3 linked regions of the Arabidopsis thaliana genome follow. The protein of the gene in region 1 interacts with the protein of each later gene in a pairwise test. Each region holds a gene or a part of one and is shown on either strand. Other genes may lie near its edges. The genes, in order: ATB BETA, RUXF and AT5G11090.

Evidence for each region.
Region 2: the proteins of ATB BETA (region 1) and RUXF interact in a two-hybrid assay, tested with the Arabidopsis thaliana proteins (one large-scale study listed by BioGRID).
Region 3: the proteins of ATB BETA (region 1) and AT5G11090 interact in a two-hybrid assay, tested with the Arabidopsis thaliana proteins (one large-scale study listed by BioGRID).

What each region holds. Positions count from the first base shown.
Region 1 is NC_003070.9:6,090,430-6,100,030, reverse strand, and holds ATB BETA (Protein phosphatase 2A, regulatory subunit PR55), read left to right. Parts: upstream 1-1,591; 5' UTR 1,592-1,965; coding exon 1,966-2,071; intron 2,072-2,901; coding exon 2,902-3,005; intron 3,006-3,087; coding exon 3,088-3,183; intron 3,184-3,270; coding exon 3,271-3,390; intron 3,391-3,641; coding exon 3,642-3,818; intron 3,819-4,107; coding exon 4,108-4,199; intron 4,200-4,468; coding exon 4,469-4,587; intron 4,588-4,735; coding exon 4,736-4,859; intron 4,860-5,045; coding exon 5,046-5,169; intron 5,170-5,275; coding exon 5,276-5,344; intron 5,345-5,425; coding exon 5,426-5,517; intron 5,518-5,615; coding exon 5,616-5,693; intron 5,694-5,795; coding exon 5,796-5,863; intron 5,864-5,945; coding exon 5,946-6,082; 3' UTR 6,083-6,823; downstream 6,824-9,601. Other genes in the region: VPS46.1 (vacuolar protein sorting 46.1), read right to left, coding at 1-164, 497-821; PEPC1 (Pyridoxal phosphate phosphatase-related protein), read left to right, coding at 8,056-8,202, 8,327-8,448, 8,521-8,722, 8,900-9,268. UniProt on the Arabidopsis thaliana protein: The B regulatory subunit may modulate substrate selectivity and catalytic activity, and may also direct the localization of the catalytic enzyme to a particular subcellular compartment.
Region 2 is NC_003075.7:14,801,073-14,806,982, reverse strand, and holds RUXF (small nuclear ribonucleoprotein F), read left to right. Parts: upstream 1-2,624; 5' UTR 2,625-2,723; coding exon 2,724-2,729; intron 2,730-3,085; coding exon 3,086-3,197; intron 3,198-3,275; coding exon 3,276-3,313; intron 3,314-3,500; coding exon 3,501-3,565; intron 3,566-3,813; coding exon 3,814-3,883; 3' UTR 3,884-4,023; downstream 4,024-5,910. Other genes in the region: AT4G30230 (uncharacterized protein), read right to left, coding at 1-607. UniProt on the Arabidopsis thaliana protein: Probable common Sm protein, is found in U1 and U2 snRNPs and may be part of the spliceosome.
Region 3 is NC_003076.8:3,521,517-3,527,440, forward strand, and holds AT5G11090 (serine-rich protein-like protein), read left to right. Parts: upstream 1-3,160; 5' UTR 3,161-3,279; coding exon 3,280-3,933; 3' UTR 3,934-4,330; downstream 4,331-5,924.

The sequences.
Region 1 (9,601 bases):
GTAATCATCTGCTACTTGCTGCATCAAGCTGTTGACTTCTCCTTCTGGAGTCGACAATGAAGTAGAGCCAGCCATTGCATTATCCATGAACTCAGCTTGGACTTCCATGTTCACAAACTGTTTCTCAAACGAATCCATCGTCTCAGACATCTTCTGTAAGTTGCCTGTTGCAAAGAACAAACCAGAAAATGATAACACGAGTTGCTACAGCACAACGTATAAGAGTATTATAAGCCCTATCTTCTTCTCCCTCTATACTACACTTACCAAAAGGAGAGAAATGCAACAAAAATTCATCACAGATCACAGAACATCCATGACGGTGAGAGAGAGCTATTCTAATATTTCATCAAACCAAACCCTAATGCATGATTCCATATCCTTCAATCAGCAAAAACAACAACAAGGAGCAGAATTTTTCAATCTATACTATAATGCTATGAGCACCAACAAAACCAAATTGATTAGATTGCTGAAAAGTGAGAATGTGAAATACCAGTGGTAAGAGACGATTCGAGGGATTTGACAATGTTGGTCATCGATTTGGTGATGGTAGCCATCTTAGCCTGGGTATCGAGTCGAGCAACAACAGCGTCCAATCGAGAAGAGAGACGAAGGTAGTTCATCTGCTCGCTGCGTTTGCGAATGGCGTTCTCGGCATAGATCCGAGCACCATCCATGTTACCTTTCTCAATGGCTTTCTTTACCTTGAGCTTCTCCGATCTCTCCTCTTTTTCGCACTTCCTAGCTTGCCTCTGCAGAGACTTTGACGTAAATTTCAATTCAAAGATCTGGTTCATCAGCTTATCTGTATTACCCATCTCCTCGATCAGTTAATCGGGATTCGCTTGTTTGATCAATCGGAATCGGAAAAAATTAGGGTTCTTTCGAATTTGGGGAAAGATATCTCAAGCGTGTTTCTTCCGCAGAAAGAGAGGTTTTAACTTTTAAACGAGGAGGCTTCCTAACATTATGTCCTAAATCGAATTGCACTGACTGGTTCTATTATTCGGTTATATCCGGTTTAAGTTTTAATCTTTTAATCCGTCACTGAGTCTGAGTGGTTAGTAGTTATAAAAAAAAAACACTCCTTTGACTTATTCGTTTCAGTTTTGATTATTCACCATCCAAATACATTTGGTATAAACTATAGTAATACTTTTTAAATTCATTTGATTTGTACTGGTTTCAATCGTTTTTCTTTTTTTCTACCGCTTGGGTATTCTCATGAGTTAATTTTGACCCCTGAAAGAAACTTGTAATTTTTCTCAAGTAAGATATGATAATATCAGATTAGAAAAAACAAATGTGCAATGGAATTCTATTTAGGATAATTTGGCAAAAATAATTATTTAGTACTTACTAATGATAATTATACATTTTCCCCCATCACACAACACAACAGTGGAAAGCGCAGCACCTCCACAACTGACCAATGATAGGCGAAAACATATGTCACTGTCCACCGATATGTAGTGGTCAAATAAATAATGTCACCGACTGTAACGCTAAGGATACTTTGGAATCAGGACAAAAACATTATAGTATTAGACATATTAACTTATACGGATTTGTTCCTTCGTTTTGGTCTCGAAGGAAAAAAAAAAGAAAAAAGTTATAATTCCACTTTTGTCCTTTTAGAGAGAGAAAAAGGCCAAGGCGTTTTTCTTCTCTCGTTCCTCCATTTTCTACAGAGAGATATATCAAAAATTCCATTTTCTACAGAGAGAGAGAGAGAGAGAGAGAGAGAGAGAGGGACGAAATATTAATCATCGATCAAGTTGCTTCAATCGCGAAAAAATCCATGAATAAAACTATGGAATGGAATGTGAATCAAAGGATTTGGTTATGGTGATGACGCGATCTTCGATTCGATTCGGTGATTAAAAGATTTGGAAGCTCAGATCTCAAGCTCGGATTTCTAATTTTTGTTGGATTATCTAACCCAAAAGCCAAAAAAAAAAAATGAACGGTGGTGACGATGCCGCTACTAGTGGTCCTCCTCCGTCTTTAGAGTGGAGATTCTCTCAGGTCTTCGGTGAGCGAACCGCCGGAGAAGAAGTTCAGGAAGGTAATTATTGCCTACGTGTGTTATAAATTGTGAGATATATTCGGAGTTTAGCTCTTCTTTTTTCTTTTAGATCCGGAGTGTATTTGAGGACTAAGGGTTTGATTTGTTGTTTGGATCTGATTAGTGAGTTATTCCTCTACTACTTAGTGGGTCATTGATGAATCTCTGTGGCTTTTATTGCACTGTTAGTAGAGTTTCTAAGTTCTATGACAAGTTTGGATTGTTGTGTATTATGTGATATTAGAGCATCTCTATTTAGCTGATTGTTGCGAGGTTGTAACTCTCATTTTTGTACAAGTTTCAGCTGTACTGCTGTAAATTTGAATCATTTGATACGCTGATGATAGTTTTAAGTTGAGATTAAGAGGGTAATCTAGCTTCAAGGTTTTGTCTGTTCAATGCCATAAGCCATGTATACTTTTTTCCACTGGTACAATGGTGTCTCGACTCTGTTTAACAGCAAGAAAGGCATATGAAGCGATGAGGGATTGGGTTGTCGAGGGACAAGTGTGAAGGGTTATCATTGGTCATGCATTTTGGGTTCATGAATTGAATTTGTAATATTGAGTTGGTCTATAGCTGCTCTCTTCTGGCTGATAAGACTTCCCGGAGTATTGATGTAACTAGGTTGCCTTCAGAGGCACTTTCCGTATTAGATAAATTTAATCTGCTCTCATGTTATTGGATGTAATCTTCTTTACCGGTTTACATACTCTATGTTATGGAGAATAATATACTAGCTGCACCTCAAGGTTATTATGTGTTTAGCTCCTACAATTTAGTGGTGACTTCTGATGTAATGATTCTGTTTGCACACATTTCTTCCGCAGTTGACATCATTTCAGCCATCGAATTTGATAAAAGTGGAGACCATCTCGCAACTGGTGACCGTGGGGGCCGAGTAGTTCTTTTTGAAAGGACAGATACTAAAGATGTGAGTTCCTTTTTCTTCTGCAAGATTTGTTTCGAAAAAATGTTATGTGCTGTAACGCACTCTTGCAAAATGTTACTTTCAGCATGGAGGGTCCAGGAAGGATCTTGAGCAGACGGATTACCCAGTTAGGCATCCTGAGTTTCGATATAAAACAGAATTTCAGAGTCATGAACCAGAGGTACATTAAAACTTATCACCAGATTTCACTTACGAGTAATTGTGTTCCTTGAGCTACTCAATAAGCTTGCTTTTCAATCTGTTTCAGTTTGACTATCTCAAGAGTTTGGAGATAGAGGAGAAAATCAACAAAATCAGATGGTGTCAGCCAGCTAATGGTGCATTGTTTCTGCTTTCTACAAACGATAAAACCATCAAATATTGGAAGGTGTGACATCTGGATGGATTTTTATATCACATGTCTGCAAAATATAGGCCACTTATAGCAATTCCTTTCTGTGTAACTCGGTTCCATAATCTTGTTTCATATGCTTTATAGTGTAGAAATATTAGGTGTCACGTGTGAAAACTGTCTAGAAACTGGTTTCTTTTGCTTCCAAGACTCAATTCAAAATAAGAGAAATAGTTTGTTTCTTTACTCTTATAATTTGACTCCTCCTCTTATTTGGAATCAAACAGGTACAAGAGAAGAAGATCAAGAAAATTAGTGAAATGAATATTGATCCGTCAGAAAGTTCAAATATCCCTCCTCAATTAGTTACTAATGGATTACCTGCTGATAAAGGGCATGACTACCTGAGCAAGGACTTTTCTTTCCCGCCAGGAGGCATTCCATCTCTGCGTTTGCCTGTGGTAGTTGTACTCGACGCAACTTTTTTTTACTTTTTGTTTGGGTGTCAAATGAAGTGAGTTTTAATTTCAGGATTCTGAAAAGTAAATGCGTATAGATATTAAGCCTGTTTTTTACTGGAAGTTGTGGATATTTTCTTCATGTTGATGATCCAGCTACTTGAGTTATGAAATGTAGGGAATTTACTATTGGCCTTGTTTCCTTTTGTCGTAACTAAAGCTCAGTACCAAATTAGTCTAATGCACTAGTCAATTTGTGTTCTACTTGAACTTATGGGTGTTTCTGCATATATAGGTTACCAGCCAGGAGACTAACCTTGTGGCTAGATGCCGAAGAGTGTATGCCCATGCTCATGATTACCATATTAATTCAATCTCCAATAGCAGGTAATCGTTTTCCTAAGTTTTCCCTCAGGTTATATGTTTTACTCTTGATATCTCTTTAACACGTTTTTGCTGTCTTTCTCCTTAATTTTTCCATCTCAGGAAACAATGCTAATATCTAAAAAATCCTTAGAATTTTATTTTGCATGTCTTTCCATGTCTGGTCGTGCTATTATTCTCTTTGTCGAAAATCTTGTTGATCCTAAATTTCACAACTTGTATTGCATTGTTTTGTTCCTTGTGGTAATGAATCGTTCCCTTAATTGTTACAGTGACGGAGAAACCTTTATTTCGGCTGATGATCTGCGAGTAAATCTCTGGAATTTGGAAATTAGCAACCAGAGTTTCAATATTGTTGATGTTAAGCCCACAAACATGGAGGACTTAACTGGTATGCTACTTCTCCTATTTTGTTAGATGTTACTTTGTATGGTCTTACCATTGATTCATATGTCAACAACCTCCTTACTTTTATTATCTATTTTTTTCACGTTTACTGCTTGTCGAGCATGCTTCTAAATGCTACATGGTCTGTGCAGAGGTTATTACATCAGCTGAGTTTCATCCTATCCATTGTAATATGCTCGCATATAGTAGTTCAAAAGGCTCCATTCGTTTGATTGATATGCGTCAATCAGCTCTGTGTGATTCTCATACGAAATTGTAAGTTCTGTTCTCATCATCCTTTATCGGAAATGGTAGTTGCATGTTTCAATATATACTTAAGAAGGGGATATGAATACGTGGGTTCATTTCCAATTTTTCTCTTTTCTTGTCAGAAATGACTTGGAAATGAAGATTAATAGGCTAAAGTTTCTGACCACTGACCATTGTTGCTTCATATCACAGATTTGAAGAACCGGAAGCACCTGGTTCAAGATCATTTTTCACAGAGATAATTGCCTCAATTTCAGATATTAAATTCTCAAAGGATGGGAGATACATACTTAGTCGCGATTACATGACGCTCAAGGTTGGAAATCATTCGGTTCCCTTTGTGTATATTTTTCTGATTGTGGGCCAATAGAGGTCTATTCTTTAGTTCTTTCTGATATCTTTTACCCTTTTTGACGTTTCAGCTGTGGGACATAAACATGGATTCTGGTCCGGTCGCATCTTACCAGGTTCATGAACATCTGAGACCCAGGGTGAGAGCTTCTTTCTGTGGCATCTTTTATTTGTTGATTCTGTGTTGAAAGCTAACCACGTTATGTTTTACCCGGTTGCAGCTATGCGATCTATATGAAAATGACTCCATCTTTGATAAATTTGAGTGTTGTCTGAGTGGCGATGGATTGAGGGTAGCAACAGGTTCTTACAGGTTGACTTGCTTGTCTTCTGGTCATTGCTGTACTTTTCTGTCTTGTATAAGGAATAAACTAATGACCAATTTATTATACTTAATCTCCGGTGAACCAGCAATCTATTCCGCGTATTTGGAGCGTCTCAAGGAAGTACTGAAGCTGCGACTTTGGAAGCTAGCAAAAACCCGATGAGGTAAATCAGAAAACAGAGAACATTGATAGTTAACCTTATTAAGTCATTGAAGTTTGTATTGATCAATTGTTGCAAAACTTTCGCATCAATGGTATATATTAGGAGGCAAATCCAGACACCTGCAAGACCATCCAGATCTATAGGCAGTATGACACGCGTGGTTAGACGAGGTTAGTGGTCATAGTACCTGTAAAACTTATTCAAGCTTTTACTACTCTCTTCTGGAGTAAAAAACTTTTGTTTTGGACGCAGGATCAGAGAGTCCCGGAACAGAGGCAAATGGGAACGCCTACGATTTCACAACAAAGTTGCTGCATATGGCTTGGCACCCAACAGAGAACTCAATTGCTTGTGCAGCAGCAAACAGCTTGTACATGTACTATGCATGAGTTGGGAAGAGAGAGAGAAGACATAAACATGGAATCAGCTTGCTCCAATTTAACTTTCCCTTTCTTCTTTTCCCGGGTCTCTCTCTCACTCTCTTTCTCTCTTTCTTTTAACAACCAAAGTCATGATGTAACCAGAAAAGGTGTAGTAGTAACAGAGTAATGCTGTGACCAAGACCAAAGCCTGACCAGTCACCGCGACGAGTCAACGGAAGAAGCAGCAACAGTAATCTTTCAGGAGTTAGTAAGGTAAAAAGTGTTGGGTTGGGAAAGAAAACAAGAAGAGGCCTTTTGTTTACCTGAAGAAGGGTAATGTCTTAAATATCCGAACCACCCCTCCTACTTAGGTTGTCTTTTTTTTGGGTTGCTGCACTAAGGATAAATTTTATTTTATTTTTTTAGTATCGATTCTATTACCTTTTTTTTTTCAATTAAGAAACAAATTATGGTGTGTGGGATTTTTTAGTATGAGACGATTGGGAGGGATGTGCTTCAAAATTTGTTTATTGATTCTTTTGTCATATCTTCTTCTTCTTCTTGAACACCACATCCATTCTGTTTTTTTGCTATTTGTCTATTTTTCAATTGTATTTTCAGACACCTCTTTTGTGTTTTTTACTTTTACCCACAATAAAAAGTAGCTTTCTCCTCCATTCCTCGTAGATTCTATTGTAAGCAAATAAAATTATCTTTGACTACTGATTGTAATACTTTAAAGGATGCGATGAATTGAATATATGTATCCTTACCTCAAGAAGAGTGTCGAGGGCAACATTAATATTACGTAACTTAATTTGATTTCTGCTAAGAAAAATGAAATGTTTGCCAATTGAGGTAGTGGATGCAGTGAAATGTAGTTTTTTCGTGGTGCCACAAGATTTACAACTAGATATAAAATATTATGTTCCTTGTTCTATATCACAATCTAAAGACACGAGGAAGAGAAATAAAAGAAGCTTGTTTTGATGCGTCTCTTCTGATAATGTCTGATAGAAGTATATTATTTTATAGATAGAGGATTACACACACACACACACATTTGTTTTGTTGTCATGCTAAGACTTGTTTGGTTAGAATACTTTTAATTGTTATTGAAGAAATCAAATACAGATGAATATTGAAAGATGTGGCTACCAAATGAAAAGATGATGTGATCCTTAACCCCTAGAATATTCTTTCTGCTTACAATTGTGATTTGTCACTCAATATTCCTTCCAAGTTGCAACCTTATTCCTTCCTAGTGCCTTCTGATGCAATTCCCATATATTTCGATAAATTTCATGTTTTTAAGTTTAAATCCAATCGAGTATGAATGTTGTGGTTTTTACAATTAACTTTATCGATCAAATGTGTGACATAAAGCAACTATCCCATGCACATTTATTTATTTTTCATCCCATGATAAATCAAAACTTATTCATACGATAAACACCAATATATTCATTTTGCATTTTTTACTTTTTTTGGGTTGCGTATTAAAAGAAAAATAAACCTTTTTGGGTAACGGATTTTATTTTCCTTTAATAAAAATGAAAATAATGACGAAAACGCATAAATAGGTGGAATATTCTTTTTTTTTATCTTATTCCATTCCGGTGTCTTCTCAAATCTCAACTGCCTAAATCCCACTAAATAAAACTTTTAACAAGCCAAACTAAATAATACCCACAAAATAAACCAAAGAGTCATCAACACCGTTGGATCAGTATACCTAGTCAATGTTTGACACATAAACGTCATCAGATCTAACGGTTCAAAAGATACGAATCATATCAGATTAGGATTCTTAATTATCTATCTTACCTTGCGTTTGACGGTAAGTAATATTCCAATGGCATCTTCCTCGAAAGATCCCTATTCGTCTCTAGCCTTTTCACCTTCTCTCACTCGTATATATATCACATTCTTCTTCTCCAAATTCCATAATCATACAGAAATCGATAAAACAGTACCTATAAAACATTGTATCTGATAGAATGGCTAAGAATAACAACATCGTGATCGTCTTCGATTTTGACAAGACAATCATCGATGTAGACAGCGATAATTGGGTCGTGGATGAACTTGGTTTCACTGATTTGTTCAACCAGCTTCTCCCAACAATGCCTTGGAACTCTCTCATGGTTTGTTTTGTTCATCCATCTCTAACTCTTCTCTGTTTCGGTTTCTCTAGGGCTTTGTTACGTTGGTCTATATATGTTCATCAGTCATAACACTAAATCCTTATTTGGTTTTATTTCAAAACAGAATCGGATGATGAAGGAGCTTCATGATCATGGTAAAACCATTGAAGAAATCAAACAAGTCCTTAGGAGAATCCCAATTCATCCACGTGTCATCCCAGCCATCAAATCTGCTCATGCTTTAGGGTAAAAATCCATGTTAAATTCCTCATTCTTCGTTTGATAACACGGTACTGAATCATACGACATAATATTTAGGTGCGAGCTGAGAATAGTGAGCGACGCAAACACGTTGTTCATCGAAACAATCATTGAACATCTCGGGATTGGTGAGTTTTTCTCCGAGATTAACACAAATCCAGGACTTGTAGATGAACAAGGAAGATTAATAGTCTCTCCTTACCATGACTTCACCAAATCTTCTCATGGTTGCTCTCGTTGCCCTCCTAACATGTGCAAGGTACTGCAGTTACACTAATCTCATATTGATTGATTAGTTCAAAAGATAAGATTTGTCATTACTATTTTCAGGGATTTTGGGAAACTTTTTGGTGTAAAATATATTATCTTTGATTCTGTTATGAGTCAATATGGACCTATCTGTGTGCTAAATTAATACTAAATTTTGTTTATACAGGGTTTAATAATCGATAGGATTCAAGCTTCTCTAACGAAAGAAGGGAAGACGAGCAAGATGATCTATCTTGGAGATGGTGCTGGTGATTACTGTCCCAGTCTTGGACTCAAAGCTGAAGATTACATGATGCCAAGGAAGAATTTCCCGGTTTGGGATTTGATTAGTCAAAATCCCATGTTGGTTAAGGCTACCGTTAGAGATTGGACCGATGGAGAAGATATGGAGAGGATACTAATGGAAATAATCAACGAAATTATGTCATCAGAGGAAGGAGAGGAGAATGACAAGATGTTGAGCTCTGAAAACTGCAAGATATCTGTTGGGATTGTTCATGAACCTATTCAAGTTCCTTTAAATTTGGTCAAGTGATTGATGAAAACAAGAAATTGAAGATTTTTGTTTTGTATTCGAGATATTCTTCATGCAATTATGTAAGATGTCTAAAGATGAATGGTTCATGCACGTTAAGTGATTTCTTTTTTTTGTATACGTAATTAAGGGATCTCCTTCGGAGGAGCGTCTAGCTACCACGGAAGCTTAATGGGCTCATTTTTCGTATCACTTCTTTAATTAAGTCTCTTGTTCTTCGATAATGAATAATAGCATAATATTACTCTAGTGATCCATCCAATTATAAAGAGAATGTAAAGGATGGTATAAGTTAAGCATGTAAACCCATTCCGCATTGGATTAACCTGTTTG
Region 2 (5,910 bases), on another chromosome or scaffold:
TCTTTATATCCTTGAGTTCGATCTCCGGCGGAAACTTAACCATTCCAAACATGATCACATACCATCTTGGCCTTACACTTTTTACACTTCCCGAAGACGTTGTTTCAGGCTTCCCCGTGTTTTTAGTCGATGAACTATTTTCCGGTGGAGAATGTACGGTGGTTAGACCACGTGAAAGCTTACGATAATCTAAAGAGCGGCTTGCCCTCATAGGTCCCGCATTGTCACGACGTGCCACGGTACAACTACCGGGACGGTTAAGCTTATGGCCTTGTATCGCGGATAAGGACTCAGACCGTGAACGGATTCGACGGCTAATGTGCTCAGGAGGTGAAAAGAAAGCATTTTGGTAGTTTAAAGGGATGAGTTTCCCGCCAAAGATTATATTTTCTGCCGGAGCTACGTCGTAGGAGGATGAGGTTAGAAACTCAAAAAGTTCCGTTGACGGTTCTTTGTGGTCTTCGGTGGTGGTGGGATTAGGATTCTTGGCTTTGAGGGGAAGATCTCGGAGAGATAGTGCGTCTTCTTTTTCTTCTTCTAGGTGATGTTGAAATGGTTTTGGGAGTTTAGTAGGGTTTTGGAGATTAGTGTTTTTTGTAGTTTCCATGTTTTTTAGGGAGAGAGAGAGAGAAGACAATGAAGATATTGAAAGTATTAATTTTTGTCACCATATATATACATGGTCTCTAGAGGGGTCAAATACTTTTACAGAACTTAAAGTGGAAACTATTTTGTTTTACGGGTTAGAATTCTTTAGGTGTATTTATATACATGCATATATTTGTAGATTGTTGACCATCCGAAGTTTCCGTTTGCCAAATTTCTCATGATTTAATTATTTCAGGTCGATATATGACATATTATGTTGGTAATAACAATAATACAATTTTAATGACAAGAAAGATAGCAAATCTTACTTATTATTTATTATTTAACCACACAAAGTGTCTATTAATATTAACTAACTCTAGTTTTCATATATAGTTTTAACGACAAGAAAGATAAGACAAGTAACTCTAGTCTTCATATATAGCATTGATCATTTATTCATGAATCTTTCCGATTTTTCAGCTTAGAAAATTTAGTTATTCAAAAGCATGGTCAAGAATGATAGAGATAGAATTATTCAAACACAAATTAATAATGTTTGAAAATTTGAGATTTACATTTCTTCATGATGTAAAACTTTGATTGAAATGCCTATATTTTTTAAATTCTTTGTCAAAGACTATATGTTTATACATATGTACATAAATGTACCACGATCACACAAATTTGCATAGATTTGTACACCCAACCGGTAAAATAAAAAGACTGTGCAAAAAGCTAACTGATGGTATTGTATAAAATATAGATTCGACATGTCACCACTTCTATATAAATATATATAAGAATTAGCGAAACACAATCTAAAAATGTTTAGACAATTTTCTTTAGGTATATTTTCGAAGGAGCAAGTTTACACACAAACAAACTGTATGAAGCATATTGATTGTGAAAAAAGATAGTCGAGACTAATTCAGAAGAAGACTAAGACATTGTGACAAAAGTATAAAAAATAAGTGCTGAGGTATGAATTGTTGCGCGTAACTGAGGTCAGCTGAGAAAATGACTTTCGCCTGGCTGCTAACATTTCGTTTCGGACCTTTCGGTTATTACAAACATTAAAACGATGATTATAATTATATTCTAGACTATAGTTTTTGATATTTTCAACTATCCAATTATAGTTTAGGTATATTAAATCGAGGAAGTGGAAGTGTAGTGATTAAAGAAACTCAATTGTTAGAGAAAAAAAAACTAAAGGAATTAGAGCCACAATTACAAACTATCCACTTTGTTTTTTCGTTTTCAACGTACATCAACTTACGCTGCAAGGCACAAGTCATAAGTAGGTTATTCATATACATTGCTTGACTACAAAGTTTGATTTGTTTTCCCTTTTTATAACAATTTCATATGGTGCGATGTTACTATTTTGCCTTTAAACGCAAAAAAGTAAGATGATTCACATCTATAGCAGTTCACTTCAAATGTTTTTTTGTTCAAAAAATAAAAATCATGATGTAGATAACCTTTTCTATTAGCATGCTGATTTTATAAGCGTTTTCTTTATCATAGTAAACATATAATGACGTGAAAAAAAAAGTAAACATATAATGACTTGTAAAAAAAATAAAAATGAAAAGACCTCAAAAATGAAAAATACTTTGCACTAGATGATGGATGACCTCAACAGATGAGTGGTTCACGTTCACCTAATTCTTTGGTCATATATGTGATGCCAATCGTTTTAGTTTTGATGTAATAATTATAGAATTCTAATGGAATTATATATAATCTAAACTAATAATTGGATGGTCAAAGAGTAGAAAGCCGGCTAATTGTTTTAAAGGCAAGCTGACAAAATTTGATCATTGTGTAAAGATGAATGCAATATAATGGACTTTTGTTCTCGAGAAACCATTCTTCTTGCCGGTTTTATGTCATTAGGTTGGAATGCATGTCGTTTTTGTCATGTATTATTTGTTTTCACTTTTATGGAGATTTCACAAAGCAAGCCAGTTGAACCAATAATGGGCCTTATGAGATATTTTCGCAGGCCCATTATCTTCTGTACAGCAACGAATAAACCCAGCCAAAAACCCTAAATCGAGAGAAACCACAAGCGTATCGATATTTGTTCTCCCAGATCTTCGTTTCGTCTCTTCGTTCTCAAACTCATGGCGGTAAGTTTCGATTTTTTCGTCTTCTGATTCTAAGTTCGAGCTTAGATTAGTTAATTCCTTTCTTTATTGAGCTCAAAATTAGAATTTTATCTGTTAAGTAGTTTTAGGGATTGCGAAATTCGATGGCCTGAGCTCTTCTTTCAGCTCCAATCTCGTCGATTTATCTGATTACAAGTAAAAGATTGGAGTATCTGCGAATCTGAATCTGATTCGAAATTGTTATATATATGTCGTTAACGAGTATAATAGTCCACTACATAAAAATTGCATTCGAGAATTCGTTGGAAAATGCACAATGTGTTTATCTTCAAATGTGATGCTTTTGAGTTCATTCCATTAGTATTTGATGAACCAAGTTTGTATGTATGTGTGTTTTGCAGACTATTCCGGTTAACCCGAAACCATTCTTGAACAACTTGACCGGCAAGACTGTTATCGTCAAGCTTAAATGGGGAATGGAATACAAAGGTATATTTTTCTTCAAAATGCTTTTGATGATAAGTATCCAGAGCTTATATAGCTAACAGTCTTCCTTCTACTTCACAGGTTTTCTCGCCTCTGTTGACTCCTACATGAACTTGCAGGTGCGTTATTTCCTGAATTACAAAGTTAGATAAGATAGCTTTTTGATTAAACAGAGAGATTGATGTTATTTTGTCCAAAACCACCTGCTAAATGTTCCTTGTGCATACAAGTTTAGAGGCAATGCTGATAATCTGTACAGATACATAGATTGTTATGCATTGACATTTTCCATATTGTTTTTGTCAGCTGGGAAACACCGAAGAATATATTGATGGACAATTGACAGGGAACCTTGGAGAGATCTTGATCAGGTAATAATATTACTTCATTGTCTCTACTTATTTTCTCCTTGTGATTCAGTTTATGTTTCCAACTATATGATTCACAGTGAAGTGTCATTACTTGATAAAACTTAAGAATTAGACTTGGCGGCCATTATTAGCACACATTTATCATTTTCTCTCTGATAGTAGTGGATTCATTGACTAACTATCAGGTTTGTAATTGCTTCGAAATTTTCGGATCCATTGAATTAATTTGCTGACTTTTGTGTACATAGGTGCAACAATGTTTTGTATGTCCGTGGTGTGCCAGAAGATGAAGAGCTTGAAGACGCTGATCAAGACTAACCTGTATTGAGTACTTAGAAATTGCAAGTCTGTGTGTTTTAATTTTTGTATTCTGTGAGCACTTTAATCTTAGTGTGATGTTGTTGAATCTTAAGAGTTTGTTGATCATATTCATACCTTAAAAAACTAACAAGCCCTTTTTCTTATGAGAAACCATTCTTCTTGCCGGTTCTTAGTCAATTCTTTTTTTAACCATTTTTATTGGGCCTAAATTTATAGCCCATCAAGTGGTAGCAAGTAGCAACATTGAGATTCTTTTGTTTACCAAATTTAAGCCATAAGTATGTACCCGCAAAATAAAAGAATTCGAGAGATTTCACTCTTTTTAAAAATAATTTTCAAACATAATATAATGTACCAAGCAATTACCAAACATAATATATCGTTCCAAGCAATCAGTTTTCAGATTAATCGGATCAATCATGCGTCCTAGCTTAAATGATAAATAATATTATTTAGTCTAACTTATTAGTATGTATGCTATATTGATTAATGATTAGCGTATTCCAGAAAAATAAGTTTTTTGCTGAAATTGTTTTAAAATAGGATATAAAGACAACCATGTACTTAATCGGGAATAAGTTAACCATGTACTTAATCGGGCTTTATGCATTGGGTCTATGATTAAGAAGTTGGACTACTAATGGGCTGTAATAGTCCTATATTGGCCCTTCTCAGAAATCTTACTAATGAGTCCGCAAACTACAATCAGCGCTACTAAATTTACATCCAGCCCATGAAGTGGTAGCAATATTGGGACAACCTTTGCGGTAATGGAGATGACAATTTGAATATACTTCTTCTTAGTCTTAACTCATCAATTGAAAAACTAACAAAAATAGTTCTACGGTAAAATTCGAGTCTAGTTATTTGAAAAGGCCAAGATAAGAAAAATAGTTTGAGTTCAAACCTTAATAAAAAAAATCAGTAGACTTACGGTTTGTTGATAAAAAAAATACGGTTAAAAGTTAATATAGTGACCTTAAGTCAATATTCCTTATTTATTTTGTTCTGCTATGACGTTGACAAAACATGTGAAATACTGAGAAATCAATTATTCAATCATGTGACATCATTTACACTACCATGTCAACTTGATTTTTATTTACATTTGACACCGATCATCTTTAGTTATTTTCCATGTTGACAAATAAAAAGTACAACATACTATGTAGCTTTACAATTTAAAGGTACTGAAGAATCAATTTTAAAAGAAAATTACTAAGTTTGTCCCTGGAAGATGGAACAAGTAATACAAAATATACCAGATTAAACCATCACTAGATTTGATGAATAAAATCAACAAAATAATGATAAAACATGCAGTACCATGTCAATTTAAAGTCGACGATCGGTTCCTATTAAACTAGACGGGGTATATTGTCGTTTATGCAATCGTATTCACTTCTAGTTAACGAATACAAATTTATGAGGTCGAGAGAAGAAACACACAACACAAAAGTAGTTGAAAGAGGAAAGAAACATGTTGTTGTTGTTGTTGTTGGAAAGTTTTCTGTCCACCTACTTATTTTGGCACGCTTCAATGTAAGTCACGTGTGCTAAGTTAAATCTAAACTATATGCTCTCTCGCCTACCCACCAAACCCATCGGTCCATTCCTCATTTTCAATTTTCTTAGAATAATATTCTCAACCACCAAAAAACACTTCCGAATGAGCTAGAAGGTTGCGAATATGGCTTTTTATTTCTCTCTACCATTATTAATCATTTGACTCTTGCATCCAACGCACATCGACTTATCTATCACCTTTTTGGTTCTTAATCAACTAGAGTGTTGGCAAATTAATACTAGACTTGATAACTTAAGTTGCGAGTTTATTTGTACTGGCTTGTTTTGACAAACACAAAAATTATGTTACTATGACATGCGAAAGTAAGGATAACACAAAATGTCGAGCTAACACTCTCGTTCATTTTGAACCGAGAGTGGCCTACTTAGTTTTTAGTAAAAAGCATGGTCATTTAACCTAAATAATTCTAATTCATTATCATTTGCAAACTTACCTA
Region 3 (5,924 bases), on another chromosome or scaffold:
AGTTTCTGGATTGTTTAGATAATACTAAGATTTTTATTTTTTTTTGTGCACCAGATAATACTAAGATATTCAAATGTCTCTTTTAGTGGATGGTTATTGATTAACCAAATATACAAACAGATGTCGAAATGAAGAAGAAAAAATGGCAAATCAGCATAATATCATAATTATTGAAATCTGTACATTATAATATTGGATGCTAGTACAACATCATTGCTACAACCACTTTAATAAAATGAAAATATCAGAGAGAGAAATAAAGCATCATATCCTTTGTAATATGATTCTCAAACTCGAGTCAAATTAAATATTCCTTACAATTTACTATTTACCAATTACTATACTCCATAGGCATCGAGCCCTCTCTATTCAGTTTTACATTCTCGAAGCACCTTTTTATATCGTGCATGAGATATCGGACATATAATGAAGAAGATTGTAACACGCTTTATACTCGCCAAAAAAGATATCAACTTAACAAATGCTGATAAAAATAGATACAGAAGATTACTCTTGATCTATTTTTTTGTGTGAAATTACTCTTATGATCTTATCGCCACTAGAGTAAAAGAGTTTCCTTGTAAAAAAAGATTTGGAACAAATATTTGTTTTCACCGAATAATTTTTTTATCGGATGTCCCCGAAGGGACTTTCACCAAATAAAGGTGAGTCCAGATGATTACTAGTGGACTTTTGGATTGTAATAAGAACGAATAATCACATGACCACGACCAGGCCATGACCATGACCATGTTAAATAAATCCAACTTCCACTCTAAATCCAGTGTCAGACATTGGATCACCAGTTAAACACTTTTGGCTCTTGGATTGTTATGATGCTAGTAGAAGCCTGGACACGTGTGACATAAATCTATACGTGTCGTAGTAATGTGGACGTGGTGGTGTGAGTGTTGTAGCCTATTGCTTTATCACATTGTGTGTCCCGACCATACAAAAATAACTGTTTTGTCCCTAACTTACCCAACACGACCTCCATGTGCCCCGCATCATTGTGATCTACTACTATTTTCAATTATATTTATTGCCTAGATTCGTCTAAATCAACTGTTTACAATCGTCGTACCCACCTAATCATATACTAATGTCTAATATTAGTTTTACTTTCTTTTAGTTTTTATCAGGTATAATACTATTTTAGTGGTATTAACGTTTGATAGGTGCTACTAAGAATTAATTACACACAAAATATGGATTCTGTCAAGACCAATTTAGACAAAATGTGAAACGAGTAGATCAGACCTTATTAATAATCTCAATCATAATTCTCTCTTAAATATTTAATCAAATTAGACAAAATATAGGTCGTTTCTGACCGTCAAACGTTTAATATCTGTAGAAACCGTGTTTAAAGGTTTAGTTGGTAAGAACTCTCTGAAATGTATCCATCAAATTCTTAAAATTGATATTCTGCACCAAAACTATTACTGGCAATAATCTGTCTAAGCATATTTTGTATTTTGCGGTTAAGGACGCATTGGAATAAGACATATATTATTACTATGGTTGAGTTCATCACCAAATTCCTTCTGCAGAGAAGCTGTTATACCTTTAAGATAGCATATAAATGTTCTAATACATCAGAATAGTGTTCGAGTCAGTAGTTCCATCAATTTGTAGGGACTCTTTAGGTCTAATATGAAACACAGTTGCATGGATCTCCTCCACCGTAACAACTTTATACCAAATGCTAGATTCGTTGTTGTTGTTACATTGCTTTTAAGCCCATTCAAGAGTTTGGCTAACTCACCAGTAGGTTTAAGGTGAAAAGTTGTTGAAATATGTTAAGTGTTACGTGTTGAGTAACTCTTGACTAATTATGATCATAATACGAAATTCTTAAAGTGTTACGAATTAACGATTGGCATTGCCTTCCAAAAAACTAGCTATATCAAGTCCTCTCTCTTTGGCCCTTTTTTATTTGGTAGTGAGCTGTTATTTCTTCTTCTAGCATTAAACCATCTTGAAAGGAAACAAACCAGCAAACGTAGGTACTTTTAATGATGGTGTCAGTTAGATCATAGATGTAACTTTATATGTTACCTTCATGTTATAAGATTTCTATATTGATGTTGTTGGGTATTAGCAACTAGTATTGATGAACCCAAAAAAAAAAAAAACTAATTTTGATATTTATTATAAAAAAATAATAATTAGTAATTAATATTTGATGTTAAGAGACTATATACGTAGACCAAAGGCATGTTTCAGACAAAAAAAAAACAAGAACAATAGAGTGCTAAATTTGATCAATGTAAGCTTTTAATATCTACTACAAAATCTAAAATTACTAAAAGTCATAAATCTTCAAATTGCTATTAAATTTATTTTATAAACCAAATTTAATTATTTAAAATATGTTTATAAAACTATTCAAAGTCTACCAAATAAATATGACACAAATCTTCAAATTGCTATTAAAATTATTTTATAAACCCAATATAAAGTCATATTTATTTGGTAGACTTTTGAATGGTTTGACATATGTGATTTTAGCTCACTAATTTATTAGTATTGAACTCTCTTACATTTATTAAAACTATTTTATGTTGGCAAAAATGTTTTACTCTAGAATACACTATACATAAGACTGATTTATTCGAAGCCTTCTTTAGATAGCCTAAATTTACACAAATGTTGTTAGATGCTAAACTTTTGTATAATCTTATTAATCTGAATCAATACCGTTACAGAACCATTGGGTTGTGACGATAAAACAAACAAAATAAAACCATTGGAAATGTAAATCCGGCTCTTGGCAAAACAACGGGCAATGGCAATTTACGTAATTATCTAAACTTTCTCTGGGTACTCTCCTACTTAAGAGCTGACATCTTTCTTAGTCATGACACGTGGCAGCTTTTTTAACTGCCCCCAAAAGCATTCCCTCTGATTTGTCATCTCAGCCGTTGGATCCGAACCCGATTCTTTTCGAAACGGCAAAACCGCCTCAAATTGAAAAACAAATTAGTAATTTATTTTGCTAACCATAGTTAAGTTTCATTAACCATGGTTAAATTTGACTAACCCGACATAGAAATACCTAAATTTCGAAAATGGTCAAAGTCTTTGAACGTATTTACATTTATTGCCATTGAACAAGCTTTTGCTATAAATTCGGTTCCTGAGACTCGCTAGGTTTGCCGAACCAACCTCCCTTAGGCACTTTCTACAGAGCAGCTAATCAAAAAAAAAAAAAAAAAACCTTGTTCTTCTCTTCTTCTTCCTCTCTCACAAATTTGACTTTCATAGAAGAAAAAAATGGTGACTACATCGTCACGAACCAAGTCAAACGGACCGGTGCTTCGTTCACAATCACCGTCAGGTCGATTTTGCGGTGGTTACTCAAGAGCCGTTCCGTCATCTTCTTCATCAGCTTTCGCTTCATCAACGAGTTCTAGCTTTTCATCTCCGTCGTCAGCTTTTTTCAGCAATCACCGTCATCACGAGAGCAATCACAGTCACCACCGATCTGCGTCACCGACTCGTGTGAATCTCTACACAGCGCAACCGATGTCTCAGTCGTTTCGTTACTCTCTCGATAGCAGATCTATATCTCCGACTAACAAATCGATCTCCGTTTCGAAGAATCAGCCACCGAGCCATAATCACAAGATCTCAAGGAGATGTATGTGTTCTCCGACGACGCATCCAGGATCTTTCAGATGCAGTCTACATAAGAACGTAGCGAATCCACATGGTCAAGGTACAGCTTCGTATACAACGAATGGATTGAATATGCGTCGATCTGCGATGACTAATTCGCTGGTGAGAATTGGTGGTGTTGAAGGAGAGTGGGTGAGAAGAGCTTTGACTACTTTGATTCGACCTTCTTCGCATCATCTGAAAAGACGAGCTGCTTATCAGCCACGTCCTAGTCGACTCTCAATCATGGCGAAAGCTGATGAGAATTGATTTTGATCTGGATTTTGGTTAATTCAGGTTTGTTTTGTTTGTTGTTCTTCTCTCTTTAAACGAAAACCACCACAGGATTTAGTAGATCCGGCGAAGAAGTCTTGTTATGAAGCTGAGGTCTGCGAAGAAGAATCATCCTCGAGAAATCGAGATTTTGTAAAAGGAAGAAACACACACCTATCATAATTTTTTTGTTGTTGGGTGAAAGAAGATGCTAGAATGCATTGTACATACGTTCTCTTTTTTACTGTTTTTGTTGCTCTCTCTTGCGTCTTTGTCGAACCCCAAAAAAAAAAAAATGTTCGGAGTCTCACCAAAAATTAGAGACCTAAAATCGAAAATCAAAGAACTGAATCTAATTTCTGTATTGAACAAAGTGAGATTTCTCATTCCTCACAATCAATTGTGTATGTGTTTGTCAGATTAGCGTTTTTTTTTTCGTGTCCCGTCAAGTCAACGTTCGTGTACTCCGTTGACCGGCGTTGTTTGCCATTATCCGTCGTCGTTTCTACCGTGAAGCGTTGCGTTAGTTTTCCAGGTATGCGTTATTCGTCGTGTCAGGTATGTTCCATTCGTTTTTTTTTTTTTTCCGTTTTATGTTACTTACATTTTTTTGTAGTTATATTTTCGTGGACATTTTGAATTTTGTTTTTGTTTTGCAGGTTGCGTTTGGTGATGGAGTTTGAACTACTTGACTAACAGGGACATGAAAATTCAGATGGAATTGAGAGAAAAACAAAATAAATTAGTAGAAAAATACATTAAAAACAAAAACAAAAGAGGTGGAAAAGGTCTTCACTTTCTGGACATATATAAAAAAACAACGAAAAATCTATGGAGGGAAAAACATGACTGAAGACAAAATTTACATAGGAGGGAAATGGAAAAAAAGTGTTTTGGTAAAAGAGATAGCTGACTGACCCAATTAGAAAAATGACTGAACATATGGAATATATTAGGGAGCAGATGGAAAAGAATACATATGAATATATTATTAATGGAATTGGGAATCTTTTGGATTCATGAAGGAGTAAAACTTGGAATGTTTGAAAGAAGAAAAGAGGAAGGCTATGAATGTGGAAAGACACGTCTTACTGATCTGGAAGATTTTGTTATATTCGATCATATTCCTCTGCGTCCATGATATACTTTTTAAAAATAATTTATAATTAATTCAAGAAATCTTCTTTGAATTTATTAAACAAAGTTTGATGTTTTAAGTTTAAAAAAATGAAACTCATCGAAAAGCTAAAACTGCGTAAACTTGACGATGAATGATGATGCCCCACATTGTAATATGTTGTACGTGGATTAGTTTAGGTTTATTTGTAGAATTTAAAAGGGTTTTCTATTGTCAGAACTTAGAAGAAGTCGGCTAGTGATGAATAGAATGTGTTGGCGACCACAAAGGTTGGACCGGACTTGTGATCTTTTCTGATTGACGTATCCCCTCGGGTTTGATCGGTTTAACTTCATTCCGCTTTGGTATGTTCCTACAACCAACTGATACTAACCGAGTGAAACACTATTGACTATAGTTTTGCAAACTGTTGTTTCTTCTTCTGTTTAGCGGCTCTCGAAAAGGGAAGAAGTGGAAAATGGCTCTTGTGACCAATAGTTTCCAATGTCATACTCATACAGTCATACATGTTTCGTTATGAGTCGTCTCCACCTCAAGTACTTGAAATTATTGTAAATTTAAGAATGGTAGTTGAAAAACTTAATGATTTTCCACCTATTCAATATCAGCATGACATCATTGGTCGACTAATATTTTTGTAAAAATTCTAGCAATAAATTGTACCTAAAGAATAAGAGGAATAAATGGTGAAATAGAGGGATCGTCCAATTTATAAAGAGGAAAAAGTGGAATGAAAGATGGGATACACGTCTTCCTTACCTGGAAGAGTATATGCCACCATCATATTGTTACATTATTGTTTTATTATATCACTTAGATATTTCTTTTATACCTTTTCATAGTTATGGTT